4 linked regions of the Lepisosteus oculatus genome follow. The protein of the gene in region 3 purifies or fractionates together with the protein of the main gene of each other region. This does not show direct contact. Links are inferred from orthologs where the notes say so. Each region holds a gene or a part of one and is shown on either strand. Other genes may lie near its edges. The genes, in order: serbp1a, cnot9, rc3h1a and cnot1.

Region 1 (7,954 bases), about 5.9 Mb from region 3:
ACAGTGCCAACAAATAAAGCTGTAAATAAAATGAAGATAAAAATTGTTTGAAATTGTAGTTTGAAAATTATAGTCCAGGAAGTTGCATGTACAACGATTTCAATACTACCCACGCAGTATGAAGTCATTAAAGTAATCTTGCGATTAGTATGAAACATAGAACAAAGGAAAAGATTAATTCTGAGCAGACAGTTGACACAGTTATTAGAAACCACGGAGGACAATGAATTGTGTTTTCTTCCATTTCACTGCAGAGTGCAGATTAAAGAGGCTCTTATTTCACTTCTCTGCAGTGACATTGATAAAGGAGAAATAGTATAAACATGATACTGTATTACTGAACCATTTTTCTTATAAATAAGCAAATATCCTATGTTCTGCCAGAATACAAAAATTGACCCCCCGTTTAATAAATAAAAAACTCAAAAACTAAGAAGGAAAACGACTAATTTTTGACAGGGAGAAAATAAAATATTGGCGCACCTGGTTTACACAGTTGCTGTAGGTATTCTTCGCCACTTAAACATTTGAAGGTCAATAGCCACAGCTCAGAAGAAATTGTACAGTATATACTACTACTACGACTATCACTACTACTACTTCCACTACTACTAATAATAATAAATAGAAGACACAGCCAGAAATTTAAATCATTTTTTTTTTCTTAAAGGCTATCATACTCACAACGCGACCAATATTGACCAATTCAATAGTGGGTTAAAAAAATACTGTAAGCTTTTTTATTTTATTTTTTTTATAAAACGGATATCAGCATAAGGTCAGACCAATGTATATTTACATTTATGTAGCAATGAAGGAATTTAAATTTGCTGCAATTTTCGACTCAAAATGATCACACCTATTCGTAAGTTACTGAAGAATTATTATTATATTGGTTATTAAATCCAACTTAAAAAGGCTGGCTTTAACTTAAAATAATTATTGAAACAATTTCTACGAATACTACACATAATAAGATTTGCTGTTGGATGATATCCAGGTTTTATAAAGATGCTTATCTTTAGATTCCTCTTCATTCCAGTCACTTTCTTGCAAAACACCTTGTGTCATTTCTTGAGTATGCATGACGTGAATTTGTTCCATTGGAATTTCCGTGTATTTCACATTATTGGGCATTTTACATGTATAAGTTTCATTTGAATTCTTAGTCGTACTGTCTTCATCCTCGCTGCTAAGTTTTGGATTGCAAAAAGCCCAAACCATGACGCAGAAATAAATGAAGAATGTTGCCATCACGATGACCATTAACGTATACGATTCAATCATTGCTTCAGTCACGGCAGACGTCATCTTTCTCTTTTCTTCTTGATGTGCCCCACTAATATTTCCGATTTTAACTCCTGTCGTTGGATCGGATGTAGAAAACGTAATGCAACTTGCCGGTTTGAATCGTTAACTACATGGTTTCTGCTTTTGAATCACGGTTATTCTAATAGTAATAGAAGCAAATACAGCGAGAAAAAGAAAGCTTTGTACCTATAAACAGGTTTTCTAAACGCTATTTTGACGAAGTCGCGGATCAAATAGATTCCCAGTGTGTGTATCCGGCGTTTTTCAGCAGTCTGATGTTTGCCTGATCTTTCTCCGAGTCTGAATACTCTGGCAGGTAACTTCGAAATCGCTTATGATGACGTTGCCCTGTACCATCTGAACCTCAAAGGCGACAGCAGCAGCCAGACAAGTTTCAGCTGCACCCAAGAATTCCGGTATAGAATATAGAAAAAATAATATAATTATTTTCTTTAGGCGTGCAAAATATATTTGTTTTATCAAAAGTGTACCGAGCCGACTGGTTTAATTTGCATTAAAATCGTGTTTAAGTTGCTAGCTATATTAATGATCCTCCAGTAGTTTTAAGAGTATGTCATCTCAAAAATCCAAAACTTCCACTACATATTAATTTATATACAACTTTTAACAATGCATCTGCATGTATTTTTAATGAGTTTTTGGGTGGATTTTAATGCAAATAACAACAAATAATGTAAAATCAATGCAACTTTCTGAAATATATTTCTGAAATATTAGCAGATTTCCATGTTACTAGAGATTACTCCTGTCTGGAAAACAATGAATTAACATTTTTACGTACCATTTTATTAAAAATCACACATTTCAAAAAGTATTTTATTTTTCACTGCTTATCAGGATAAAGGGTAATTATCGGATAACATACAATGACTTTCTCTCTTGCCTTGTAGCTGTCACATGAATTGTTAGATTTCAGAATGTCTGAATATAACTATCCATTCACACAGAAAAGTACAATTTTGAACAAGACTGGAAAGGCAAGTATATCATCAACTTTCAGATAAACTAAAAATGCTAATATTAGCAAAAAATGAAATTAACACTGGCTTCTGGCCTTTCCCCATGTGAATGATCATTATTTCAACACACTTGGAAATTAAATATAATTTAATTTCAAATATCCTGGATATTTCTTGTGGATTTCCTACCATTGCCCAGTTTGCCCTTCTCATAGTCATAAGTTCCCATGAACCTTCTGTTCAGGCTATAGCTGCCTAAAGCTTTAAACTTGCATCTGTCTTTATTGTTGGCAATTGTGCACATATCATGTGAGTGAAATAGCCCATCTGAATCTAGGGGACTAAATATTTGCAAGTGTTATGTCTCTGCATGGCAGATATTTTCATTACCATGCTGTTCAGTATCAAGTGCTGAAACTGTAATGAAAACAATGCCTCCTTGGAATTTAGTTTTTAGATTAAAAAACAAACACATTAAAGGGTCTGTAGAGTATAGCTCATAGTCATAGTTTTTTTTCTCAGTGGTATTATAGCATTTCAAACTGCCTCTCTAACAATTCAGAGATTATGCATTATAATAAAATGAATTGAAGGTAATTGGTTTAGAATGCTCTAGATAATTTTGCATTAATAAATAGTGCAGAAATCTACCCAACTTTACAGTATGTGAATCCCAGTCCTGAATTATATTTTGGTGAGTTAACTTCAGTTAATGTCTTACAGATTTTTGTTTCATAATGAAGAGAATTCTTCATCTTAGTATGTGCTTAATAGTGCCTTATAAAGACCACTAATGCTTAGGACTAAACAGGCACACCCTGTCTTTGATAATACTGGAAGCTTAGCTGACTTTTTCAGTTATGCAATAGCAAGGCTGTTATAGGTGGAGCCTCATAAATGTTCAACTTGTCTGACAGGAGTCCAAACAGCAAAATGGCATGTAGTGTTTTTTTTAGATGTTTCACTTATTAATTTGGACCTTCCAGTTTGGAGATATGGAAAATCTTTTATTAGGATACAAAAGCAATAGAATTTGCTGTAAGTAAAATAAAAAAAAATTGAATGAGGTTTAAACATGATGGGAGTGAAGTGTCAATCACCTTTAAGCCTTGAAAAAATGGTTTTGAAAAGTGAAATTGCTCCCTGATCTGGAATATGCATGTGAACTGTTTCTCAGTAACACTGAAATGAAATCCATTAGAAGAGAAAACATTTTGTGTAAGTATAAGTGTCCCACACTTTGTCACCAAGGTGCCAATTCATTCATCACCTCTGGTATAAGTATGTGTCAAACACTATTTAAAGATCACTCTGAACAAATACTTGATCATTTCTAATTTGGGTAACATCACAAGAAAGGTGGTTAAAGAAATCTAGTCAATTTACTGACCATCAAGTCATTTTTGGTTAAAAAAACCCAACATTTTATTAAGGTGTTTTTAAAGGCTTTGTTCTGTTTTGGAAAGCTAATCTGAATGGGGGATGGTTGATCAGATCAGATGTCAACAATTAGGTCACAGACAGCCACCTTACAAGATGGTTCTTTGCCATTTTGTTTTATTCAGATCCTCTTGTACTTAAAAAAAACGATCATTTAATCAAATCAGCTGCTGTATTAGTTCATATAACCATAGCTAGAGGTAATGCAAATTCATAGGACTACTCGCTGTCTGTGCTTATTATGATACTGTTGGTACTGCATATACTGCAAAAGCCAGCATAATTGAAAATACAATTTCATTTAGAGATAAAGAGTAAAACATAAAAAGCAAAATAGCGTTATTTTCAAATTTTGGAATTAGAAAAATTAGAGAAATCAGTCAATGGTAAATGCACTAGCTGACTAAATGCAGGCAGACTCAATTTAAACCAGGCACATAAATGCAAAAATTGTCACGCTGGATGGCTGTGCTATCAAAGAATGGCCTCATAGCACATTACTGTTATACTCCTTTTCTAACTTCACAATTTCAAAAAGCTTGGAAATAACAACCATAATCTCCCACTATATTCCATTCAAGACCCCTATTTAAAAATGCATTAGATGGTGCTTCAGGCAATTGTTATAAAGAGCAATTCTCGTTGAAACGCTAACGCTTTTAAATGCTTAAGTAAAATATTTTTATTAAATGTTACGGTGAGAAAATGTTAAAGCACACTGGTTGTGAACGAGAGGCCTGCGCCACCATGTTTTCAATAAAGCTTTCACTTGCTACAAAGCAACACTCCTTAGGCGCTGTTCAAAATGTGTACTCCACTGTTTGAAATGCATGATACCATTAAAATCAAATTACATAGCATCAGCCTCTAATGCTAGTATTGATCATGTGAATGAAATGAAAGTGAATGAAAGCTTTCAGTGATTAGACTGACAATTCTGAGCATCTGCAGACCAAGAAAAATTAAATGAAACCACACTGACACAAGCGTGCACGTTCCCTTTCAGTTTACCAACAGCATGCCATGCCGAGCGCTACTAGTTACAGTTCCCAAGCAGACGTTTTTCAAGAACAGAAACAAGCACTTTAGCTGCAGATGCTTTCCGGGACTTGTAGTCTTTCACTGCAGCTCCTGCAATATGTTTCTAGAGCCCTGCCTCTATTAAAAACTACATTCTCCATGTGGCAGCGAGCTTGAAGTCCCGGATGTCTATCGCGCCGGAAGAGAAGACGGTCTCTTTCCCGGCCATCTTGTGGCAGCATCAAGCGAGCTGTTCGCTTCAAGCCTCGTAGAATCGGAGGAGAATCCCGCTGAAGGGGCGCCATCATGCCCGGACACCTGCAAGAAGGCTTCGGCTGCGTCGTAACTAATCGGTTCGACCAGCTATTTGATGACGAGAGCGACCCCTTTGAGGTGTTAAAAGCGGCCGAGAACAAGAAGAAGGACGGGGCCGCCACTGCTACCGCCAAGACTGCTGCTCAAGCCGCTAAGCAGCCGAAAAAAGAGTCGCAGAAGGACAGAAAGAACCCGCTCCCTGACAAGAAGGAAGAGACACAGGCTCCTGTGCCTCTCAAAAAAGAAGGTGACTTTTTTCCCCCTTTCTCTGGTCAGTGGACTGCGTATTTCAGAACATGGAAGGGGGTTGTGTTAATGTTACTGCGTAAACCCCCCATGAGGTCAACAACATGGTTCCTATTCTAAGCCAGTCAGACAGTAGTTCAGTGCCTTATACACGCTCGGCCAAGCTAAAAATGTACGCCTTTGGGGACTCGAAAATGCATTCTTCCTGTAGTCTCCCGGTGGTACCTGCGCATGCTTTATCCGGTGCTGAAGGGGGTCTAGATACGGTTAATTCTTTAAAATGCGTTTCCTAGTACCAGGCCTGCAAGATACTGCAGAGCGGGGAGGTTGCTGAAGTGTTTCGGTCTGATTAAAGCAGTTCCAACGCCGGCTACAGCAAGGCTCTCTCGCAGAGGCCTGGCGCTGCAGCAGTCAGGTCGCCAACCTCGTGGTGGAAGTTTGGGGAAGGCTGTCGAGCTGTCACAGCACTCGGAAGTCGATCTTCGCGAGTCGTCGCTCGCCGTGGAAGGCGTGGTGCTGGGAGCTAGCGAGGGAATTTTTAAACAATCGTTTGACCCCCTCGGCGTCGTTGGGCTTCATCAGTTTTGTCCTCTGCATGTGACGCAAACGGGCTCGTTCGTTTGCATGCATTCCTTTTAGATTTTAGTCCAGCGGCATGTACATCTCGGAACAGCTCTCACGTGCTTTGTTTGCATGATGTCGACTTCACGCCTGTATCGGGCAAACAGGAACCGCGCTAGGGCTTTATTCTAGTACCTCGAAAATTGTTTTTTTTTCCCCCCCAAACACGAGCTTGCGGACCTTTCTTGGGATGCACCCAACAAAATTCAAAATGGACTCGTTTTTATTTCGACTAAACCTGGAACTGGGCGCTTGATTTTTTTTCTAAAAATAGACGCATCCTTTGTAATCGTTTTAAAACGAAAGTGGGCGTTTACCAATTCAGTAAAAGGGCTTAATTTAGATAAAAAGTCCAGTTTGGTCCCATACAGAAGAGGCGTCCCCAACAGGTGCACATCCAAATGTGCCAGCAGCTGTCGGGTTAGGCTATATGGAGGTGTTCTGCCTGAGGGCTGTTTTTTGGAGGGGGGTGGGGTACAGATGCACTGGCTCTTAGAATTGGGAACCTTTTGACCAAATGATTTCTCTTGGTATATTGAACTAGATCTCCATCTAGTAGCAAAAGTTGTAACTTACCTCTTGAGAACCCAATATTGTGGGTTTTTTTCACTTAGTGAAGTGGTTTCACACCTTTCCAGCTCCAGTCGCCACTCATGCTGTAAGTCAGCATTATCATTATTCAGTTCATACTACATACAGGAGTTAACACATGCTTTTTGATTTGGTATGTACAAACTCGCTTGTTAAACCTGGTTTCTGCTAATTAGCTTATGACGCATTCGAAAAATACTCAGGAGTGTAAAATACATAAATCACCTGCTAATTAAGTTGGGGGTGCATTATAAAAAAAAAACATTTTAAGTCTTCTAACATCTTTCTTAACTTCACAGCAAACTAGCATTATGTCCTTTAGGAATTAAAATTATAACAGGTTGAGTTAATTTCTTCGTTTTAGCGGTTGTCCAGTTTGAAATCCACGTATACTTTTATATTCCAAAGCTGTAATTGAGTTCAGTAATCTAATTTATTTCTTTTAAATTGGACAGGACCAATAACACGTTGCGAGTTGAATCTGAATCGTGCTTCCCTGTTCACGGATGAAGGATTAGATTTTTCAGGCCTAACTCACCAGCTGGCTTTCTATTTCAGGTATCAGGAGAGTTGGCCGTAGGCCTGACCAGCAGTCCCCACACCAGGGGCAGCAGTCCCAGCAGCAGGGCTCTCAGCAGCAGGGGGGTCAGGGAGAGGGCAGGCCCGGCGACAGGAGGCCAGACAGGAGGCCCCCACGCGACCGCCGCTTTGACAAGCCTGCTGAAGAAAAGCCCGAAGGTGGAGAGTTCTCTGTGGAGAAGTAAGCTTACGAACAGTATAAGGGTTAGGAAGCTGTGGAAGGGGATGTTTATGGGCTGAGTTGGGGGCTAGTGGTTTTTTTGGGGGGGAGAGAAATGATTTCAGTTTTCCCAGACTTTGCAGAAAAAATGTAGATATGCCAAGCCATCAGCCCCTACATTAAAAAAAAAGCACATCAGTTACAACACAAAAATGTGTTCCTCAATGTTCAAAAGCTCTTTGTTTTTTAGAAGAAATTGAGAATTCTATATTAAATGTCACAAAGAGAAGGTGCGTCATAATCTGAATTAATTTGTCCCAAAGACAAATTTTTAGTTTTTAATTTTATACTAGACAAAAGGCATAGGACACTGCCTATTTGGGCCTATTTTCTGTGGTCAGTTGTGTAAAACGACTGGTGAGCTGAAATCTTGAAATTTTAAGTTTTACACAGTAATTTCCAGGAAAGTTCCCCCCCCTGCATATTGCCCCTGTATTGCAGTTACTTTGGTCATGTCTAGTTTTTTTTAATCCTTGACCTTCATTTGCAAATGTTTGAAAATAAGGATGAAAATAAACTCCTGTTTAGGGAGCACTTGGAAACCAATGCCAAAAATTTGGTAGAAAAGGTTGTTTTAAATGTTGTATTCTTTTTCACAGGGGTATCCCAGTTTATATATGAGCTACCATTA
Region 2 (7,399 bases), on a different chromosome or scaffold from region 3:
GTTGATCCATTGATAGATCTTCTCCCTATCCACTTGCGCCAGCGCTGTGGTTACAGCCTGCAAGGAAAGAATGCAGACGGTCTGAGAGAATGGAGCCTACAAACGGATTTTGATATTTGGATTTTTGCTACTGTAATAATGAAAACCATTTAAAACACTTTAGGTACTGTAGACTGCCATTTGTAAAGCTTTCAAATGGTATCTCCTTTCCAACACAGTGCAACAACAATACATGAAAAATAATCTCACCATAAAAAGTTAAAACAGTAAGATGACAGCACTGTGATAACAAATTATATTAACCTGCTATAGAACAGCTACATCTAACTGTATCATCTATATCTATGTAAGCTAAGACAGATATAGTAGATACAGTTAGATTTTAATTACAGCTAACATAGTCCTGTACTACTCTGACTTGTGTTTGGTTTTGTAATTGAAACATGTTTAGGGTTACCATATTGTTTTTTCCCCCAGACATGTCCTCCTCTGTAGGCCTTAGATCTCTGTCTGGGAGGAATTTTCAAATCTTAATATCTTCCTCTTAATATCTTTGTCTCCAAAGGTTTTGAATGTGAAATGGAGTGCTGATTATTCGTGAGCAAGACTATGTATTGGTTATAGTTGGAGTGTCTAGTTTTCTGCCCCATTCAATTTTCATTCCAAAGAGAGAGGATTTTTCCCAAAACCTCCACACTGGCTCAGCCACAGCACTAATTTCAGTATCTTATCTGATTCTGGACTGCGCACAGTAGCTTTTGCTCAAGAGAGCTTTATTTGATTTTTTTACTTTGCTATCCCTAAACACAATGCCAAACCAAAAATACTCATTCACTTCAGAAGTAAAGACAATATTGCTATGTTTTCCAAGCAGGATAGAAGAATGAGAAGCTGAGTGCTTGGTATGTAGACCTGGTACTTCTGTGGTAGACAAAGGTGCAAATGATTTACAAGTTTGTGTGGACTCACACAAGCATGAGAAAGCAGTTGGAGAGGAGAGCTCATCATCAAAAATGGCAGATTATGTTTTATAACCAGACAGCAAATCAGGTAATCCAGCAAATCCAGGGTTTATAGATTTTGAATGTCCTAAGCTATTTTCTCATGGCACGACATAACTGTCATTTTTTCCAGACATTACAAGACTGATACAGTTTCCAGCTTTTAACTCCTCATTTTTGTTATAGGACAAACCACCTACTCTGATCAAGACATTCTGAGTATGAATTAAGTGAGTGTTACCTCTGAGCATTCATGAGTTTATTCCAAACATATATCCAAGAAACTGAAAGGGAAAACAGCTCTGTCTTGGAAGTGATAACAAGCTTGATTCTAATATTCCCAAGTAAGGGACTACTGGCAGAAAATGCACATGGAAGGATCTGTTGAAGAGTGTGACACATTATGTGATAAAACAGATAATCTGTATAGTAAATCCTCAGAATATTTCAAGACGTAGAAGAGGTCCCTTGAAGACTTCTCTTGTTTTAAACAAATTGTCCTGAGTGAAACACTGAATTGGGCTGATGTGGAACCTTGCGTCAAAGATCTGATTGATAAGGAGGCAGTAACTGATGCTGTGAAGTATTTTGATTAGGTCAATAATCTAAAGAAATTGATAGGAGGTTGAGATAATAATGAAGAATTTAATCACACCAGATGTGGATCAAATACTTTGAAAAGTAAAAAAAAAACACCAAGTGGAACTCAGTGCTATTAAAGCCGCATACTTCTTCTTTGCTGTTCCTACTCAAGATAGGAATGTAAAGTGAGGTTTTCCACACATGTAAAGCCAGTGGACAAGGTAAAACAACTTGAAAAGGATATTACTTGTTCCATACAATTTCAGCCAAACCTCTAGCAAAGACTTCCACAACGTCTTCTCTCCTGCTGAGAAACCTGCTTTCTACATAGACATTTGCTTGGGCACATCAGGAGGAAGACTACTTAAGGACTGGTGAAGGAAAAGGACTACATATAAAGAGATACAGTAAAATTTGAATAAAGTATCTCTGAGGCCATAACGGTTTTTATAATTTTGCAGATCAATATAGACTTATAGACGAAACGTAGTACACAGAATATACAACCGTAATACAACTAATAAAGGTCTAATAGATAATGGTACAAATAGCCCTCTCGAAGGAGTGTACCCCTTTTTTAAATGTTCAAATATGGTAACCCTTATCAAGCTCTCAATGTCTGATTATCAACAGAATTATGAAAAAGCACTAGGAAAACAATTTAAAAAGGTATTTGTTTACACCCTTAATGTAGTGTCGGGATTCTAAAAATGCAGAGCAAAAAACATAAAATGACAACATCCATACTAAACACTAGTTCCACCAACCAGTCCCTTCTCAATACAATACAACATTTCAAGTTGACCTGCTGCTAAAACTTCACTTCATCAGTTTTTAATCAGTCTTTGTAGTCCACTGGCATTAAGTTGAATTATCTGGTGTATATATATAAAATACAAGGTGTCGGTTTACTCGCACTTAAACTGCATCTAGAAAACAACCTACAAGTTTTGTAACTACATCGTCCACCAGTATGAAATTCCACCATGCCGTTGTTTTTCTCACAGACCTGAACTGCCTCCTGTGTATGATGCTTCCGTAGTTTTTAACCCCTGTACTGAATACCCTTTTTTGCATTAGAAAGAGAATATTTTAAACCCACTCTCTAAAATAAACAGTACAAATAAATATTTAACAAACTTTATCGGATCGTGAAATCACTTAACAGCCAATCGAGTCTTTAAGGAGTCCCTACACTTGCGTCAAAATTTTAAATTTCACCGAGGCCTAGAGCATCTTCAGGAATAAAGTACTTTTAAATAAAATCTTACCGCCCCTGTAGCCAACATTCTCTGAAGCGCCTGGATATGATCGCCTGAATGTTGCGGAGTCCCTATTTTAATTCCGTTGGATTTCTTTACTTTCTTTTAATATTAATATATGCTCTGTTTCCAAAAACAGAGAGAAAAATCCAGCAAGCGCCGGAATTGTAACCTCTGACCTTTCACCTCGCGCGCACATTTCCGAAAAAAAAAAAACAAACTACAATAATTGATAAGGTTGCAGTTATTGTTTTACACCGATCTATACAAATGCTACATTCGTATAGTTTTAGGATTTTAACAAAATATTAAATAAAATCGAAAACAAATTAAAGAGATATAATTTGATTCTGCGTGACCTCTCAACTTTGCGTTGCCAATATTTGGGTTACATAACTGAATAGAAATATAAATGTATTGCACAAGTCCCTGACATATATTTCACAAGGGCTGGCCAATATTTTATTTAATTATTTTTTCCTGATATAAAAAAATCTAGACATGTCTTACATGCCGTAAGATTATTTAATTATAAGAGCTTCTTTTGACAAATGGTTTGATGAGATTCTTGGATCGATTTGCTATTAACTACCAAACAATGTAGAGGAGCTGAATGGCTTCCACTCCTTCAAAAGCTTAAGTTTTTAATCAAACCTATAGAGCATATTAAGTTATGTATTTCAGTAGGCTTTATTCCTACACTAAAAATTACGTGTGTTTTCACCCGCTCTACACTGTTAATTTTTTTGTATTAAAAATAAGAAAAAAAATGAAAGTATGTTAGCAGTCTTTTACAAATAGCAATCTTTCAGCCCCGGACCCACTGTCTAGACTCCAAAGTAAACTAGTTTATTGTAATGTATTTATTGTCCCACAGTGCTTTTTAAAATATTAGGGGTCCTCATTGAGACATACTTCTTTAAAGAGAATTCCCCAGCCAGAAGCAAGAAAACTTTTGAAAACGTTTAGTTTTTCTCTTGAATTACACCACAATATTAAGGGATTATGGGAGTTCCAAAATTATCTATGTGCGCTCAAGTCTATGCTCCATTAAAGGAGAAAAAAAAGGTTTCCACATTTTATACTTAAAGCAGGTAAGAATATTTATAGGTTTAAAAGTAACCAACCCCTTGACCCCTGTAAACTACAGTACAGGAAGAAAACCAAGGCACTGCGCAGCTTCTCGCCATGCCACTCTGTCGCGCGATACCACAGCGCATGTTCTCGCGCCGGGTTTCCGTTGTTGATTTTCACGTTCCCGCCATCATACACACCGGTGGGGCTGCGTTTTGGACCGACTGTCAACGATAACAACATAGTTGCTACCGGAGGCCGGCCACACGGCTACCAGCCCGTAGGAGACGAGAGGGGAGTATACGCAAAATATAGGAAAGCGTGGAAACCGAACGCTTTCTTTTGCACGTAAGACATTATTCGTTGTAATTGCCGGAGTCCTGCGTTCCTCCTCTTCTTGTTATTCAAATTACTGACAGTGGCTGTCATTATCCCGGCCTTTAATGTGATTGCCGGTTTTCGTTATCCCTGCCCACGACGACGTTCCAGAAAACGGAATCTCCCGAAACCTGGGGGTAGTTCCGTTCTAAATAAATGTTGCCGGAGAAAGTGGCGATGTATGGGTCTGAGAAGATGGGGACTGTCGTGCACGTCCAGGGCTGTTTGTGTGTTCTTGTTAAAATGCATCGCCTCTTTGAAACCAGCTTTTCACTCTCGTGTCTATTTTTTTCGTCGCCGTTGAATTTCGGGCTGTTTGCTCTCAGTCTTGTCCCTGTGATTTCCCTTCACGAACTTCAAGAAAAGTGCCATTTCTCGGACACACGCAAAAAAGTAACACTTGGAAATCTTCGCAGTTCGAAATACGGCGAAGCAGCACGATTTGCGGGCGCATCTGTTTTAATTCAGTATTTGTGATTCCTGACCTGTATTGTGGAATAAATTGTACTTCGCTATTGGCCTCTGTGCACGTGTGTCTTTGCAGTCTGTTGTGGGCAGCTCCCCGTGATTTTCTCAGACACTTAACAGCAGAGGACAGTAGTTTGGTGACTGTATGTGAAAGCTGTTTGATTTCTGCAATAGCACGGGCCCCATCTATGGTATCCTCAATCGTTTAAAGATCTGGTGTAGTAAGATACGCTTAGCATATTTTACTCATTGCATTCTTTTGTGCGTTAGATTTGGTTTTGCTAGTCGCAATGGTCTGGTGCTTAGATTCCATGCTGTATCGTTTAAAAGCGATGGTTCTGAATGAGTGTGAAAATACTGTAAGCGCGTCTCACACAACGATCAGTGGACTTCGGCTTCCCCGTGTTAAGTCAAAAGTGTTTCAATGCACGGCTTTGAATCCGCCTCCCCTGAAAGGTGCTCCGTATCTGTTAAATAATGTTCCACAGTTTGCCAAAATTAATGTTCCTGCATGTTTGTAATTACTACGTCTATCCGCAGTGCTTGCAATTTTGGTGGGATGTGTCATGCTCTCCTGCCTCCCAAGACATGAAGTGTTTAGACATCAGCACATGTTCTGATAATAGTTATAGAGCAGGGGTTTTGAAAATATTTTAAGCCATCATTGATCAAAACGAAAGCAAAAAAGGCTGGGAATTTATCTGTAGAACTTTCATGGGCTGCAGCTGCATCTTTGGATGTCACATTGGTGAAGTCCTTCTCCCATGGCAATTAGATTCACCCCAGAACGTTATTATTTTGATTTGTCACTAGTCTGGTGTGTTGCTTCATTCTTTGTATACACCACCTGTCATTTTGATTATAACCCCAAGAAATGTTTAGCTATTGGTGTTTTAATACTGAACACGGACAAGGATGTTGTGAACCAGCTGTTTTTAGGCAATTATGTAATGTTTGTGCTTCCCATGAAAAATGATGTATAGGTCCATAATGAATTTAAGAGTATAAAAAATATAGTACTAGTATGAATAAGCACAAGAAAAGTTTCTATCCTCAAAAGTATTACAAGTAACCTTAAATGAGCTGTCTAACTGGAAACCTTCTGTTAAATGTTCAGGTTTTACATAGGGCTGTCCATTGGCCCAGGTGTCACTTGAAGATCCAGTGACCCAGTGTCTGTTGTGCTTCAAGCCATGGCAGCCACTGTGCCAAAACTGTTAGGCAGCGTCCGGATCAACAGCCTGCAACTGGGTACCACCAAGTGGAAGGAAGGAAGCTTTGAGATCCACGAGAAGGACAACAAAGTCAACCTCTTTGTGAGGTTCAACAGTGGAGGAGTCCCCAAAATATTTCAGGTACAGTTTACTTGTCTTTCAGATCGAAAGAGCTTCATGTGTTTCACCCTACCTCTGTTAGGAATGAGGTTGAAGAAAACAGATGGTAAATTTGTACTATTTTCCTAAATTGTGCTGTTTTGCCTGTTCTTTAAGGCATGTTAGCATATGGTGCACTTACTAAACGGTACATATATATGGTTGTACAGGATCTTCCAGATTTATCCAAACGCTTGTTGAAATAGGAACAAAATACATCATTTAATGGAAAGCTGTAATACATACTTTAATCTTATTAGCATTGCACAAAGCAAAGTCATATTTGTCATAATCAAGTTCCGAAAGTACAAGGATCACTTTTATTCACATTCCCGTAGTGAGTATTTTTTTAATCCTCCTCTGGCATAGATTACACTGGCACCTCCTGCAGTGTGCTGTATAGTTCTGGTGCTTCTTATAGAAGATTTCTGAGCACTTCTCCAGGCAGAAGTATTCCGGGTCCTTAAGATGATTGTTTTTTTTTTGTGAACTGCCTTCTATAGTTCAAACCACAAATGTTAGATTGGTTTGGTGACTGGTAATATAGATTGCCAGTCAAGAACATTTACTTTGTGTTCTGTTAACCATTCGTTTGCTGGTTTGGATGTATACTGTTCTCTCAGTGTGAGCTTCCCCTTTTTTATACCAAACAGAATGCTAATGAGCATGCACAAGTCTTAATTTTTATTTAATTTTTAACTTTCATTACATCAGACAACATTGAATGTCAGTTTTCTATACTTTGTATCCCGAAGATGCCAGTTTGGGTTGGAGATCTCCAGTTGTCGTCTTTAGATTTCTGAGCCTCCCGAAACACGTTTCAGTATGTCATGATGGCAAGATATGCTTGTGTCCTCCTCCTAACGGAGTTACCACTGTACCAGTAGCCTTGATGTTCTTAATAATGGGCACAACATTGAAAAGTGATAGATTCAGCTGTATGTTGCTTCTTTCATTGCCATCCCCTGTTTTTAGGAGGTCAATGGATAGTCTTCAGAGGGCTCCAGTGAGAGGTGTGTTACATCCTTTATATTTCAAGGACATGGGGAACCAACAGAGGTCACTGTATAGTTCTGGTGGCTTTTCGTTTCTAAAAAACACTGGTTTTGTAGATTTTCTGTGTTCTGATTTAATTTAAAACAGTTGTGAATAAACATGACACTCGTATTTTCTAGAATTCAGTTATTTATGATCAATATGACTTTGCTCACTGCAGTGCAGTTGCAGGTTCTGTATAACATGTTTAGAACTGTTGTAAGCA
Region 3 (7,021 bases):
TCTGCAGTGAGGCAGCTGTGTCACCCAGTGGGTCTGTCTGGGGAGTGAAGTGGGTCCCCTCCTGTGTGTGGAGCACTTTGAGATCCTGTGGAATGAAGAGCACTATATATTCTACACATAATACTATCTTATTATACTTAGTTATAAGTATAAGTTTAAGTATATAAGTATAAGTTTAAATGATAAAAAGGGGGTAGCAATATTGTTTCTTTTGTTATTTTAGTTAGTTAAAAGAAATTAGTATTAATTTCCTGTTACAGCTATTTATGAATAATATTGTATACTGTGAATGGGTTTGGGTATGAACTAGGTGAACAATTTAATTCCTCTAGGTGGAGCAGTAGGTCTGCAGGCTTGCCCTTATAAAAATACATGATCGTTCCATTGCTCTGATAGAAGTGTAGTTCTAATCTCGGTGAAGTCAGATTTAAGATGTGTCCAACCAATTAAATTACTTCAGGAGAGTATTAATACGATAATTAAATCTTAATTAATTTGTGGAGCTAGTGTGTTCTCCTTGTGTATTTGGTAGTAGCTCATTTCTCCATGGATCTCATCCAACCATTTCTTGAAAGACACCAAGGTATCAGCTTCAACAACATGGATGGGTATCTTGGTCCAAACTGTCACACCCCTTGGGTTAAAGATGTGCCTCCCCTTCTTGGTTATAAACTTTCATTTGACTTCCACTTCTAACCCCAGGTTTGAAGAAATTCAAATGCTTGACACTCAGTGCCTTTGAGGATTGTGCTATATACTCAATTCTTGTATTAGGTCTCCTCATAGTCTTTTCTGTTGAGCCTTTGAGCCTGTCAGGAGAGGACATCCCCTTCAGCCCCAGAATGTTTCTGTTTGCTCTTCTCTTTGCTCTTCCAGCGCTGTGGAAAAAAGCAATAATCGTGCCTATGCCCAAAAAGCCCTGTCCCTCAGATAACAATGACCACAGGCCGGTAACACTGATGTCTGTTGTGATGAAATGCTTTGAGAGGTTTATAGTATCCATGCTGTGCTCAGAAGTGAACACTGTACTGGACCAATATCAGTTTGCATATAAACACCGGCGGGGCACCAATGATGCAATCAACAATTATGCATCTTGTTCTAAAACACCTAGAGGACCCCAATGCCTATGCTCGGATGCTGTTTGTGGACTTCAGCTCTGCATTTAAAATGCTGCAGCTCCATCTATTGATAAGTAAGTTGAAGCAAATGTCCGTTAACAAATCGCAGACAGTATGTCAGGGTCAACAAAACTCTTTCTGAGTCACGATCTATTAGCACAGGTGCCCCTGAGGGCTGTGTTAGCTCTCTAGTTCTTTTCACGCTTTATACAAATGATTGTAGTCAAAACAACTTCATTTTCAAATTCTCAGATGATACAGCTGTTCTTGGCTTAATGCATAGAGGTAGCAGCTCACCTGTATACATGTCAGAAATCCAAAGATTTGTGCAATGGTGTGACAACAATAGCTTAATTTTGAATGCTAAAAAAACAAAAGAAATAGTTTTCGATCCCAGAACAGTTGGTGATCACTCACAGGTAGTAATCCACAACGAACTTAAAGTATCACTCAGGTTGATTCATACAAGTACTTAGGTGTACACATAGACCGTAACCTGTGCTGGTCTACTCATGTTGAGAGTGTTTGCTCCAAAGTTCAGCAGCGCTTATATTTCCTGCGAAGACTAAGAGTGTTTGGGGTTCGACAGGAAGTAATGCTACTCCTTTACCATGCTGTAATCAAGTGCATTATCAGATATGGTATTTCAGTGTGGTTTGGTAATCTATCAGTTCATTTTAAATCGCAAATTACCCACCTCATCCAGACAGCTTTGAAGGTCATGGGGGTGAAACAGCACCCCTCCCTGCAGACAATCTTTGAAAAATACATAATCAAACAGGCAGGAAAATTTTTATCAGATCATTTCCCACATCCTCAACTCTGAATATCAACTTCTTCTTTCTGGCAAATGTTTTAGGGTTCCCAAATGTACAGTGTTTAGTAGTCCTCCTAATTTGGTATAATCTGCAAATGTATGACTAAATATGCAGCAATACTGTAGAAATACTTCCTGAGTATGACCCCTGTCTTGAGTGTTTTGTCAATGGTTTCTGAATAACATCTCCTGTTACCTTGATTACAGTTGGTACATTTTAGTTCAAGTAGGCAGCTGCGGAACAAGTAAAGGTTTATTCCATGCTGAAAAGAGAAGAAAAGAAACACAATGTTTTGGGGGTGGAGCCTTCTTCGGGTGTGTCAGAAAGGGTTATCTGTTTGAAGGAGAAAATAATAGAAAGCATAAGTTTCCTCAAAAACTGTTGTAGAATTAGAAGACTATTAGAAGTCTTTGCGTGTTACTCTGGGTGGTGTCAGAATCAAAGAAAAAAAGTGTTACATTTCAGATGAAATCCTTTAGGAATGACATTATGTCGATGACATCTGTAAAGGAATAGGAGGTGGTTAGAAAGCCTGGTCTTGGAACAGATCGCTGCGAAGAGACGGAATGCTGGTTCGGTGAGAGAAGAGGACAAGTAGCCGAGGGAGGAGGAGAAGGAATGATGAAGAGATCTAGAAAAAGATTTAGCAGAAGTCATGGTGGGTTGCAACAGAAGTAGGCTGAAATAGCCTACCTCACCTGGAGCAGCGTAAAGACGTAAAACCGAGATCCTGACTCTCTGTGGTCATTAAAAATCCCAGGGCGTTTCTCGAAAAGAGTAGGGTGTAACCCCGGCATCCTGGCCAAATTTCCCATTGGCCTTTACCAATCATGGCCTCCTAATAACCCCCATCTATGAATTGGCTACATTACTCTGTTCTCCTTCCCACTGATAGCTGATGTGTGGAAAGCGTTCTGGCGCACTATGGCTGCCGTCGCATCATCCAGGTGGATGCTGCACATTGGTGGTGGTGGAGGAGAGTCCCCATTACCTGTAAAGCGCTTTGAGTGGAGTGTCCATAAAAGCGCTATATAAGTGTAAGCTATTATTATTATTATTATTATTATTATAAAAAGTTCAAGTAGGTAGCTGAGTCGGCATGTGTAGGCTGCAGAGGAACAATTAAAGGTTTATTCCATGCTGAAAAGAGAAGAAAAGACACAACGTTTCAGCTGTGGAGCCTTCTTCGGGTGGCTCCAAAGCCAAAACGTTATGTTTCTCGTTGGTATGTTTTGTTTCTCTGAGATAATATAGGAACAATATTTTTTTTTCTGGCATTTCTTTTAAACAATTTTATACGAATAAAAAAACTATACTAATTTTAAAGGAACAAGATGTAAATCAGGATTGTTCTTAATAAATTGGCAGGCCCAGTTTGAAAATACCACTATGAGTTTAAACATTTCTGTGTAAACAACACAATTCCATGTACTTGTCTAACAATGTTATTAACAGACCATTTTCCAATTCAAAACATTGTGTGCTATGGAACAAGTAATAGGTTTATTCCGTGCTGAAAAAAGAAGAAAGAGAACACAACATTTCGGCTGTGGAGCCTTCTTCAGGTGTCAAGCTTCAGGTGACACCTGAAGAAGGCTCCACGGCCGAAACGTTGTGTTCTCTTTCTTCTTTTTTTCAGCATGGAATAAACCTATTACTTGTTCCTTTGCAGCCTACACATGCTGACGCAGCTACCCATCTGAACTACATTATGTGCTATGTGTTAAAAACACAGAAATTATCTCATTCAAATTGTATTTTCACACCGTTTTTGAGTTTGCATTGCTTAAAAGAAAGTGTTTTGCCATTCAGTTAGATTTATTTTTAAACTTATAGTTCCTTCAAAAGTTAGAACAATAAGTATTGTTACTCAATGAGACTTCAGGTTATGAATTCAAAGGCAATAACAGCTTGAGCTATCTCTATATGGCGATTTTAATCACAATACAATACTAAAACACGAAATGATAGTTCAATGAGAGTTGCTTGAAAATTTCATCAGTCACAGAATGGTAGCGCTCGGCTGACAGACAGGGGGCGCTCTGCACAAACCGGGATTCCGGGTAGCATCTCGGCGCCTCCTCGTCAGAGTTAGTGTCAATTTTGTTGCAGTCTTGCTTCAGAACTTGGGCTGCCAGCAACAGGAAAATGGCGACCGAGGAGATACAGGCTGACTTTTCAAAGAACAGCTGAAGATTGACCAGGATCAATCGCAGATTGTGAGTTCGTCGAAGCTTGTTGTGATGTGTGACTCGCCCGGGCGACCTCGACAAGCCCTAGGCTTTCGGGAGGCCTGATGGCAGCCTTGGCCCGGCGGTATTGTGAGAGTCTCGGCTCCGCTTTGTCCAGGAGAGGAGGCCGCCCTGCTGTTGTGCCGCCCGGGCTTGGTTCAGGGTTGGAGGCCGAGACTTAACAGGGCTTTAGTGACGGATTTTGGATGGATTAACGTCAAGTCACGTTTTATAATGTTGCCGTCTTCTCTTTTAGGGTTTAATGCTGCTATATTATTATTTGGTAGTTTCTCGGGGGTCAATGAGCCGTGTTGTTTTTGTATAGGAGCACAGTCGCGTACGTACTAGGACATCAGGACGCAAGAAACTGTCGAAAAATTTAAAATATTTTCCGTTTAGGTTATGATTTGTGGAGTTAAAGCAGTTTATCAGGATAGAGTAGTGTTCTGTGTGTTTCATGTTATGTTGTGGCCGTTTTAGAAAAAGCCTTTATCATCAAAGTGAGTCCCAGGCTTAAGGTTGTGGCCTAGTTAGGACGTAACTGACTTTTTAAAAAATGCGAACATAAGATAAATCAGTTTCTCGCAGCGGCTGGAATATCTTTCACATGTTCTGGTCGGATTATACGGAGAGGGAAGGTAAGTTACTGATGTATTTATAATATTGTAGGCCTCAGGCTTCTAGCGGGTTAAATTTCGGAGTTGGCCGTGTGGATGTGACTCTCGTTGGGCATAATGTAGAATCGTTTTTGGTCTTGTTTTAAAAAAAAAAACTCCTACCGAACAGGTCTTCGCGTACTTTTGAATTAGGGAGCCCTACTGGTTTGAATTTGGGGATTTTTAAATGCACATTGTTGGCTTATTTTAGGAATATCTGGGTTGAGTAGGCTCTGCCGCCGTCGTGTTGTTTTCAAATTTGCAGTTTGTCTTCCTATGCCTAGTGCTCTGTTTCATTTATTCCTCTTGTAATAGTGTTTTTGACCTCGATATTCACCGAAAAAGTACATCTTGTCGACGCCCCAATGTCCGGAGTCGCAGCTTCTGTGTCCCGTCTTGTGAGAAATGGCCACGGAACCTCTTGCGCCGTGACTGTCGAAATTTACGCAATTGACTGCTGTTGCTGAGGAAATCACAGCATGTATTTTAACTCTGATGAAGGAAGTTTGATTTCAGTAGAGAATAATTAATGTAAAACAGCAGTAAACTTAAAAGGTGACAGTTTCTTAACGCTTTTTAGATCCGGAGTGCGTGAATATAAAATCAGATTTGAATCTGGTCAACTCACGGTTTTGATCGCTCTCGTACTGCTTTTCAGACGGTGTTCCCTTCAGATTCCGAATTTAACTCAATAAATTTGCCAACATAGAGCTCATTGGCGTTTTTATTATGCTTTCGCTAAAGCTTCCTATAAGTACGACATGTGAAGTCTCTCGAAATCGGTTTTGTTTGACGAATATACGTGGAGTGGGAGCTTTCAGCAGTTAAAAGTAACACGTTGTTTTTTCCCCGTAATCGAGTGTTTGTTTTGCAAAATCTCTGAGTCTACGGCACGAAAAGACAGGAGTCCTTCCATCTCAGAGTTATTCCTGAGTGGGGTTTGATTTTCCACTGTTTTGTGTTTTTAAAAATTATGCGTGCATTTCTGTAAGCATATTCACCTAGAACGTTTTTTGTGTGAAAGCGGAATTAGGCATGTGCAGAGCTTTTATTCGTGAACAGTTTGTAGTATTAGGAGTGTCCTAAACTGTTGTCACTTGACAGAGTGAATAAGATTGTGCAGTATCAGTTACTTTTCATTTGGTGTACTTGTTTTCCCTCAATTTCCCTATAATAGGTCAGAAAAGCATTCTGATCTAGTTGTAAAAGTGTTTGCCTAGGCTTGTTCTCCAACACCAAGGTCGGGCCTGTAGTGCCACTACTGCCTGTGATGACTGTCAAACTGCCTTCTTTTGCTTTCTTCAATGACATAGCAGAGTCTGCCACAGAAATGCATTGTTTGTAAGCGTGGATTAACCTTTTCCAGGTTTCTCTACAAATGTAGTTTTCAGACCTGGTCCTGAGGAACCCCTGTTACCCAGGTGGCTTTCTTTCCACCTGAAGTTAGAAAAACAAGAATGTAAAAGTTAAGGAATATAGCTGAAAAGGTGAGGCTTTTCCTTCCCTTCCTTTTCAATCCCATCCCTGGAATCTCGGGAAGTAGACCGCAAGCCTGTAGAGATTGTTGTGCCAGAGAGCCAAATAATACTAATGTAGTCCACTGCTCTGGCACAGGTAGCTCAACATGTCTCTTTTGTAAACTTTGGGGTCTAACATTTCTTAGTGTGAACAACTAGTTAAACCTGAGGTTCCATGTTTAGAAATGAGTACATTCAGTCAGTGCCAATGTTAGCAGTTAGATCGTGGACTTCTGTACCTGCTTAATCATATTTACATTTTATATTTGCACAATCATTAGCACATTAGGGCTCTGTGGCTAAGGATCTGTGCCTGTGACTGGAAGGTTGCCGGTTCAAATCCGGCAGCTGGCAGAGGAATCCTATTCCGTTGGGCCCCCGAGCAAGGCCCTTAAAATGGCTGACCCTGCGCTCTGACCCCAAGCTTCTCTCCCTGTCTGTGTGTTTCATGGAGAGCAAGCCGTGGTATGCAAAAAGACGAATTCCTAATGCAAGAGATTGTATAGGGCTCATAAAGCAACATTAACATTATTAACATTAACATTATTCATTATTTTACCTTTGGATTTTGTCCTAGTTTTCAGTTAAACATTGTCTTTAATAGTGTTTATAAGACGTAAATGAAGTTATTTCCATTCTTGCTGGCCTGATTGTGGTTTTACATGCTAATCAACACTG
Region 4 (7,739 bases), on a different chromosome or scaffold from region 3:
AACGAATGTTTTTGTATAAAATACATGAGGTGCTTTTCATGCGTTTTTCTACTGCTTGGTAAAATGCAACGACCGTTAAACATTACCTTACAATAAGTAACCGGGGCCTAACCCCCCAACAAACCATTCCAAGCCGAAAAGGTGTAAACATTTTTCCTCAACATTCCAGTAATGTGGCCAAAAATAATAACAACCGAACCCAATTTAAAAACAGCTGCCGTTACTGTGTTTAAGGGTACGAACTACGAGCACTAAAGGGTTTCGTTTTAGCAAGAGGTCAGCCCCTAACCCCGAAGTTTAACACGGCTAGTTAGGGAGGGTGTTGTCAAAAAAATAGTAACCTAACACGCACCAAGATGAACCTCTCCTAAAAAATACTCTGAAAGAAACTTTAGAACAGTTCCAACCTAAAACGCTTTCTCTTTTCAAGAAAATACCGGCTCCGTGTTTTCTAGCCTCAACCTCAATGACTAATTTCCCCAATTAAGAGCACCGCCACCCCAAAAAAGGGAAACAAGAGATTGACTCTGTTAGAAATAAATGAAGTGGAAAACTCAGCTAACCCCCTCCAGACTACTTACTTGGTAGTGCAAAGTTTAAACTTCAGTTGCTTTTTTTGTGCCTAGCTTTTCAGCTACCTCGAATATGTACCACACTTGCTCCTACAAGTAGCTACTCGGCGTTAAAGTACTCCTATTTCCCTTGCACATACTGTACTCGTGGATGTATATTAACAGGAAAATGAGGACTGCTTTCTTTCCAACCAGTTAGGGAGACATCTAAAGGAACTTTTAAACCGTGAATAGCTCACACATTAAAAAGCCGTTTCGTAAAAAGGCCAACTTAGTTCTATCTGCAAACTGAACTTCAAGCACTGAGCTACAACCAATAACGCTAAAATACATCTGCTTCTAAAATCAGTCGCCAATGTTTCAAAACATAACGATTTTTTTAATGTTCCAAGCTGTTTAAACAGCTCTAAAATGTGAAAGAATATTCCGAACCGTCAGTAATATGATCTTGTATTATGATAGCTAACCAAGGGGTTTATTTCTCACAAAAGGACCGACCTAAGCTGATTTACAAAATTCGAAACTTCGTCTTTAAAAAAGGCGACATTGGTGAAGTCAAAGATGTAAATAGCGAAAATAACACTATAAAGGACCCCACCTCTTCTTAAAGCCTTTGTTTCTCTAAGATTTTAGCAGACGGATGGTGAAATGAGACAGTTCACTCAGCCCGTTCGTTTTGCACAAAATATATCGCACTACAAGTGCCGCTCGGGTATTCAACCCAAGATCGTTTCAAATGTACAAAACGACAAAATATCTAAATATATTAATTCTGTGCGAGAAAATGATAACTTTGGTGTCGGTTTAAAAACCTTGATGATAACACTGGAAGTTTGACAAACCTACGTTCCGCTCTAACACGTTTCACTGAAAAAAAAAACAAATACAAAAATGTATATTATCCCCCTCCCCACCCCGGTACGGTATCATATTTACCTCACTTATTTTCCTAAGGTCATTTCTTTATTTTTGCTCTCCCCGAGTCGTTACAAAAATAATAACATAACGTTTGCCCCCTCTCGAGTTCGGTTTGGTTTTCAATACAAAATGGCGACCAACATCTCGCGCGCGCTCACAGCGCCATCTTCTTGAAATCGAGCTCGCGACACTGCAACATCATCCCCCCTCCCCCCTCCCCACACACACCAACTCCGGAAACAAAAAAAACTACACAAATGAAGACAAATAATTAAAACTGCGCCGAAATACAGCACGTTAAAAATCAATATTCATGCAAACAACTCGCCAGATTATAGGTTTCCCATAAACATTTTTTATTCTCTCCCCAAAAATGTTTTTTAAGACCAGACCACCCCCCCCTCCCCACTCCTTAATTCGCTCCGGCTAGAAAGAGGCTGCGGCGCCTCAGCCGGTCCCCCCCCCCCCCAAGACACGGGATAATGGTACGGTCGACATCAGGTCATCTAGCAACATCACGGCGGATTTTAATTTTCGGCACTTTTATTCGGGTGTGAGCGGAACGCGGCACGCGCCGCCGGTGTGGGTTTTTGAAAATCGCGAGCGTCTCTCCGCGGCACCAGGCCTCGCGGGGAGGTCACGTGCCGAGGGTGGAAAAAAAGTGAATCCTGTTCGTTTATGGTCGTTTTCTCTCGAGTTAGTGAGTGATCCGAGCCATTGAACCAAAGAGCAAAGGCATCACGATGTGACGTTTTATCGCGGTCTGTGCCTCACCCCTTGCCTGAGAACTGCTAGCGTGTGTGCCCGGGCTGACAAGGGCGATGGTGACCATTCCCATGCATTCCTATCAAGTTAAAAGGTTCATTTACGAAGACAAAAAAGCATTTAACGTTTTTTTTAACGCGTTCTGATCGAGTGTTAGACACGACTGGGACTCACAGCTGCATTACCTTTCCCCAGTCCGTTAGCCTCGTTACACTCAGGGGTCCTCTATCTGCTGGTGGGTTTGGGACAGTGGATCCCGAAGAGTCGTCGCTCAGGTCATTGATCTTATCTTCTCCACGAACCTGTTATCTGATAACCCACGCGGGGCTTAATGGAAGGGTGCGAAGTGCACTTAATAATTAAATCAGAGATTCCCTGTTCCCTAATCAAAGTGATGCCTATGATTGTGGAAGAGAGATGGGGCAGGGTTCCCTATTGGTGTATGAGCTCGCAAAGCACAAAGAGGCTTTCACTGATTGAAAAACTGCAATTTGCGCCTTGTGTGGCACAAAACGTGTGCCTTGTAAGGAAGTCTAGAAACCAAACTTAATACAAGTTTATCTGTTTCTATACCGAAGTTGTCAAACGGAACAATGACGTGTAATCCAATAAAAAATCGGACGGTGTTCCAACCTCTTTCCCTGGCTTTGATGTTTTTTAGCAACACAAACGCTCAGAAGTTTGACAAACCCACGAAACGTCTTTGCTGCAGCAAAATGTACGAGTGTGTGTTGAAGATCAAACCATACCCCGTTTTTTTGTGAAATTACTTGGTCACTTTCGCTTCCGGTATAAGGAGCCGTAATATGTCGCGTAGTTTTTGCGTCATCCGAGTCACGTGATTCAATACTCGTGACAGATCTGGGGGGGGGGTTGTCATGTGACCCTTCAGCTCCAGGACTACAGCCGGTAGTTTCTGCCAACCAATTTGATTAGTATTGAACTGCATCCAAAGAAAGACTTGATTCTCATTCCCCCCAAACCACTCCAGCTCTCTCTCTCTGTGTGTGAGTGCAATATAGACATGCTCTTCCGCAGCTTGGTCGTTTTAACAGCCTTGTGCTGCTCCGCTCAGTCCGTCTATGATCCAGATGAAGTGACCGATCTCCCCGGACAGTCCTTCACCCCAAACTTCAGGCAGTGGTCAGGGTACCTGAAAGCCAGCCCCGGGCAGTACCTGCACTACTGGTAAGACAGCCGCGGCACAGCAGAAGATGCAATATTTCGTTTTTCAACGTACGGTGAACACTACTCTAACTTCCTCGTCAGTTCACTTGTTGGTGAGAAAAGTTCTCTTGAACCGGACGAGAGCGGAAAAGGTAACGATGCTCAGTTTCGGAAAGGATTTATAACACGAATCTCTCCAACAAGGGCTCCTTTCTGGTTATATCCCCTTGTCCTCTGAGAAATCCCCAATTTCCAAATACCTGGACCGATTTGTGATTTTAATTGCAGGTGATTTGTTAAAACAGGTAATTTAGAAATCGTTTGAAATAAAATGATCCCTTTAGGACTTAAATTTAGCTCATTACGTGCTTAGGCGAGCAGTGACTTATAGGTGTTCACTATCTTCAGAAACGAGTGCAGTTGATCTCTAACAAATCAAGTTAGAGAAATATCATTTACGATTGTTCATAGATTTTATCCTGTTAAATTGACACTTTCTAGATTTGAACACGAGCGAGATGACTTATGTGCATTTTGTAATAATGAGAAGGAATCTTTGTTACATTTGTTAATATGCATATGCACAAAATTGTTTTGGATAGATTTGCAAAATGTTATTGCTAAACATTTAAAGGTAAATGTTAAATTGAGAGATTTTGATATTATTTTGTATTTTGTTTGACCTGATTTGGATGAAGGATATGTTATTTGTATTTCTGATGCTTAAATAAAAACAACGTGAGTGAACGTGGTGTGTGCACATGTACTGGGGCTGTCTGGGACAACAGGTGAAGACCCCTTTGTTTCTCGCTATATTTTTAGCTTTGCAAATTGAAAATGTACCCCAATATGTGAATATTTTTATTGCTGAGTGGTAGTAGTATAGTTCTGAAAATAACACTCAGATAAAAAATGAAGAGGGAGGTGTTGATTATAGCTGTTTTCTCCCTGTTTTGGCCTTGCAGGTTTGTGACATCCCAGGGAGACCCAGCTAAAGACCCTCTTGTCCTGTGGTTGAATGGTGGTCCAGGCTGCAGTTCCCTGGACGGGTTTCTCTCAGAGAATGGGCCTTTCCACGTGAGCAATTTTTTTTTTACCTCAGTGTTGAGCTCTCCCTCTGAGACTTGCTCAAAACTGCCCGCAAAACTCATGGTCGTCTTCTGCACTTGATCATTATCGCAGGGGACGCTTTTTTTTCCTTAGAGTTCTGTGGTCGTTCCAGATTTCATTTAGCTTGGAGACAAATTCACCTTCCAGGTTTTTGTTCCAGGCCTTCATAGATCCAACCCGAAAACGAAAAGAAGTCACAAAAGCAAGGAGACAATGAGAAGTGTAGAAATTGGCCGAACAGCCAATATTGCTAGCAACAGTTGTCTGGTGTAAATTCATACCTGTGCAGCACATGGTCTAAAAATCAGTTCCTCTTCTACATTACCATTTGAGCTTCATTTACCCATCCTTTCTGGCAGGTGAATGATGACGGAGCCACGCTGTACCTAAACGATTACAGCTGGAATAAAGCTGCCAATGTCTTGTATCTGGAGTCTCCAGCTGGTGTGGGCTACTCCTATTCAGACGATAAGGACTACAGAACCAACGACGATGAGGTCAGTGCAGCCCGAGTTTAAGTAAATAAAAAGAACCTGATGCCAAAACGCAACAGTACCCTCTCGGTGTCCATGATGTAAAAGTCAAAATGCTGATTATTGTGGCTCTTGGACAGGGGTTAGCTCCTGGGTCCTAGGTTCGATGCAGGACAGGGGAATTCTGGGGACTTCTGGACATGTTCTCTCTGTGCTCGTGTGGATTTTCGCTGGGCGCTCCAGTTTCCTCTCACCTTTCAAAAACTTGCTGGCTGGGGTAGCTGGTTATTGTGTCTGAGTACACATTTATATATATACTGTATTCCTGCTGTGCACCCTGTGCTTCCAGGATGGAGTCTGTTGCTCACAGCTGCCTGCTTCGTGTCTTCTGACAGGTGGCTGACAACAACTTCAAAGCCCTGCAGAGTTTCTTTACTAAATTTCCCAATTTCACCAAGAACGATTTCTACGTATTTGGCGAGAGCTACGGAGGGATATACGCACCCACCCTGAGCCTCAGGATTGCCAACAGCTCTGCCAAGATCAATTTGAAGGTATTGCCAAACGATGTGACCTCTGGGGGAGGGTGCTCTCCTAACAAGTTTCTAGCTAGTTCCTTATTTCCTATTCCTGCTCTTTTCCTCATTCTAGGGATTTGCAGTTGGCAATGGAATCAGCAGCTTTGACCTCAACTACCAGTCTCTTATCTACTTTGCGTACTACCATGGACTGTTTGGAGAAAAGTAAGCATCAGTTTTCTCATCATTGAGCTCAGGAAGTGAGGTCATCGCAGCTGTGCATTGTGGGTGGAGCCTTTCAATTTCACATGCCACTGCAATCAACAAAGAGATCCTCTTCGTCACTGGTACTAGCCACTGCATAACAAATAAAAAATCTCACACAACCAGAATGCAGGCATAGCAAAGGAGAGGACATCAACATCTAGATTAATGTTCTGTGTAAAGTGTGTATGTTTGCTTTCTTTCTGTAGACTGTGGGCTGACTTGAACAGGAACTGCTGCAAAGATGGGACATGTAACTTCTACAACAGCAGTGACACGGGCTGCATTCAGGCGGTATTGTCTCCCAGTTTCTTCCATAGTCCGTGAATAATAATACAGCATTGGAAGCATGAAGCACACCTGAAGAGAAAAGTGTAATTTTCCAACATCTGCCCCATTTAAAACAAAGGTCTGGATTCTTGATGCGCAGAAAACGCATTCTTAATGAGCTGGTGTTATTTTAGCTTTAAGGTTTCTGCTGAAAGGAAAGGCCGCATCACAACTCTTGGGGTCTTAGGTTCATTTCTGGTTTGGGGTACCTTCAGTGTGGAGCATAAATGGTGACCCCCCCCCGGTGTGTGAATGCCCTGCAATGGACTGGTGTCCTGACCGCAGGGTATCCCACCTTGCCCCCATGGTCTGCCAGCTTAGGTTCCAGCTCAGCGTGACCACTGTATGTTGCGGACCAAGAGGTTGGAAGCGGATGGATGAAAGTTGAACAGCTTCTTCTGTCTTCTTGGCAGGTGGGCCGTGCATTTAATATTATCTATGATTCTGGGCTGAACGATTATGCTCTGTATCTGGACTGCGCTGGCGGTGTGGGGACAGCTGCACGTTATCACAGGGACATGCAGAACCTCTTTCGGAACTACAGGCCGCACTGGGATACCAGTTTGGTAAGGAACTAACTTTCACATATTTGGGGGAACAGCGCGTCTATATGACCTCTGTTTAGCTTCCGAGTTCTTCAAGCAGAAAGGTTATATGAGAAGAAGAACATTACAGCTACCTATGAGTACAGTTAAAGCATGTTATAGGTCTGCTGTGTCAAAAAGTCCTCAAGTGTAGGTTTTTATACATTAGGAGAGAAAAGATCAAATATAATAGTTGCACCAGGTTCCTAGTCCTGGTCCAGGAGACCCACTTACCTGCTGGGATTTGTGCCAGTCAAGCTCTCAGCTATGGAATTGAACCCTTAACTGACTTTAATAATACGATTAATTCCAACCGTTTGACTGTTTTCAGCTCTTGCAGAGGTTGGAGGTAACCTTTCAACAACTGCATTTCACACTATAAGCAACACAAAATTCCACAACTTTTAAATAGGAAAAAAAAAAGCTTGGCAGTGTTCCAACCCAGCAAATTATTCATCCAATTAAGGCTTCGGTTTAGCAATAAAGCTCAAGCTTAATTAAACTAAAGTTCAAGCTAATTAAGATGGAATGCAAAAGCAGCAGGCGGGACTGGGAATTCCTGGGGTTAATTAATAGAGGATTAGCTGTCCAGTCTCCTCTCCGTTATTGGCAGTGTCTTTCAAGGGCATTGGCTCTTGTGAAGGAGTCTGTATTCTTGCAGCTGGCTGTGAGAGAGGCTCCTCCCTGCATCAACAGTACCGCCCAGACCAGCTGGCTGAACCGGGGAGACGTGCGCAAGGCCTTGCACATCCCCGACACCCTGCCTCCCTGGGACATCTGCAGGTAAGCAGGGCTCTGCGTTTGCCCCCTCTGTAGAACCTGCCGTTATCTGTTACACCTCTGCAATCTGTAATCGCCAGTTGCCTGCGTCTCGGCTCAAACCTGTAACCAGACCTCAACCAAACGTGTATTGGCTCATTCCGTTGTAAAACATCGACCTCTTGCGTTATCATGATGATGCAATTAGGGCAAGGTCATATCTGTTTAAGCACAGAACGTAAAAGGGCACACACTGCACGGGAATATTTCAAACACCAA

Evidence for each region.
Region 1: the proteins of rc3h1a (region 3) and serbp1a purify together in Homo sapiens (affinity purification with mass spectrometry, with the first as the bait; 3 studies listed by BioGRID). This does not show direct contact. The link is inferred for Lepisosteus oculatus from reciprocal best matches to the Homo sapiens genes RC3H1 and SERBP1.
Region 2: the proteins of rc3h1a (region 3) and cnot9 purify together in Homo sapiens (affinity purification with mass spectrometry, with the first as the bait; 4 studies listed by BioGRID). This does not show direct contact. The link is inferred for Lepisosteus oculatus from reciprocal best matches to the Homo sapiens genes RC3H1 and CNOT9.
Region 4: the proteins of rc3h1a (region 3) and cnot1 purify together in Homo sapiens (affinity purification with mass spectrometry; 5 studies listed by BioGRID, with this or other methods). This does not show direct contact. The link is inferred for Lepisosteus oculatus from reciprocal best matches to the Homo sapiens genes RC3H1 and CNOT1.

What each region holds. Positions count from the first base shown.
Region 1 is NC_090704.1:13,437,902-13,445,855, forward strand, and holds the start of serbp1a (SERPINE1 mRNA-binding protein 1), read left to right. Parts: upstream 1-4,953; 5' UTR 4,954-5,057; coding exon 5,058-5,337; intron 5,338-7,082; coding exon 7,083-7,284; intron 7,285-7,954. UniProt on the Homo sapiens protein: Ribosome-binding protein that promotes ribosome hibernation, a process during which ribosomes are stabilized in an inactive state and preserved from proteasomal degradation.
Region 2 is NC_090707.1:21,038,440-21,045,838, reverse strand, and holds the start of cnot9 (CCR4-NOT transcription complex subunit 9), read right to left. Parts: upstream 3,019-7,399; 5' UTR 2,873-3,018; coding exon 2,855-2,872; intron 58-2,854; coding exon 1-57. Other genes in the region: usp37 (ubiquitin carboxyl-terminal hydrolase 37), read left to right, coding at 5,959-6,120. UniProt on the Homo sapiens protein: Component of the CCR4-NOT complex which is one of the major cellular mRNA deadenylases and is linked to various cellular processes including bulk mRNA degradation, miRNA-mediated repression, translational repression during translational initiation and general transcription regulation.
Region 3 is NC_090704.1:19,336,888-19,343,908, forward strand, and holds the start of rc3h1a (roquin-1a), read left to right. Parts: upstream 1-4,004; 5' UTR 4,005-4,158; intron 4,159-7,021. UniProt on the Homo sapiens protein: Post-transcriptional repressor of mRNAs containing a conserved stem loop motif, called constitutive decay element (CDE), which is often located in the 3'-UTR, as in HMGXB3, ICOS, IER3, NFKBID, NFKBIZ, PPP1R10, TNF, TNFRSF4 and in many more mRNAs.
Region 4 is NC_090715.1:4,431,438-4,439,176, reverse strand, and holds the start of cnot1 (CCR4-NOT transcription complex subunit 1), read right to left. Parts: upstream 3,013-7,739; 5' UTR 2,430-3,012; intron 1,696-2,429; exon of another isoform or gene 1,509-1,695; intron 1-1,508. Other genes in the region: lysosomal protective protein, read left to right, coding at 3,280-3,443, 4,388-4,499, 4,892-5,029, 5,401-5,559, 5,657-5,748, 5,997-6,081, 6,531-6,683, 7,363-7,484.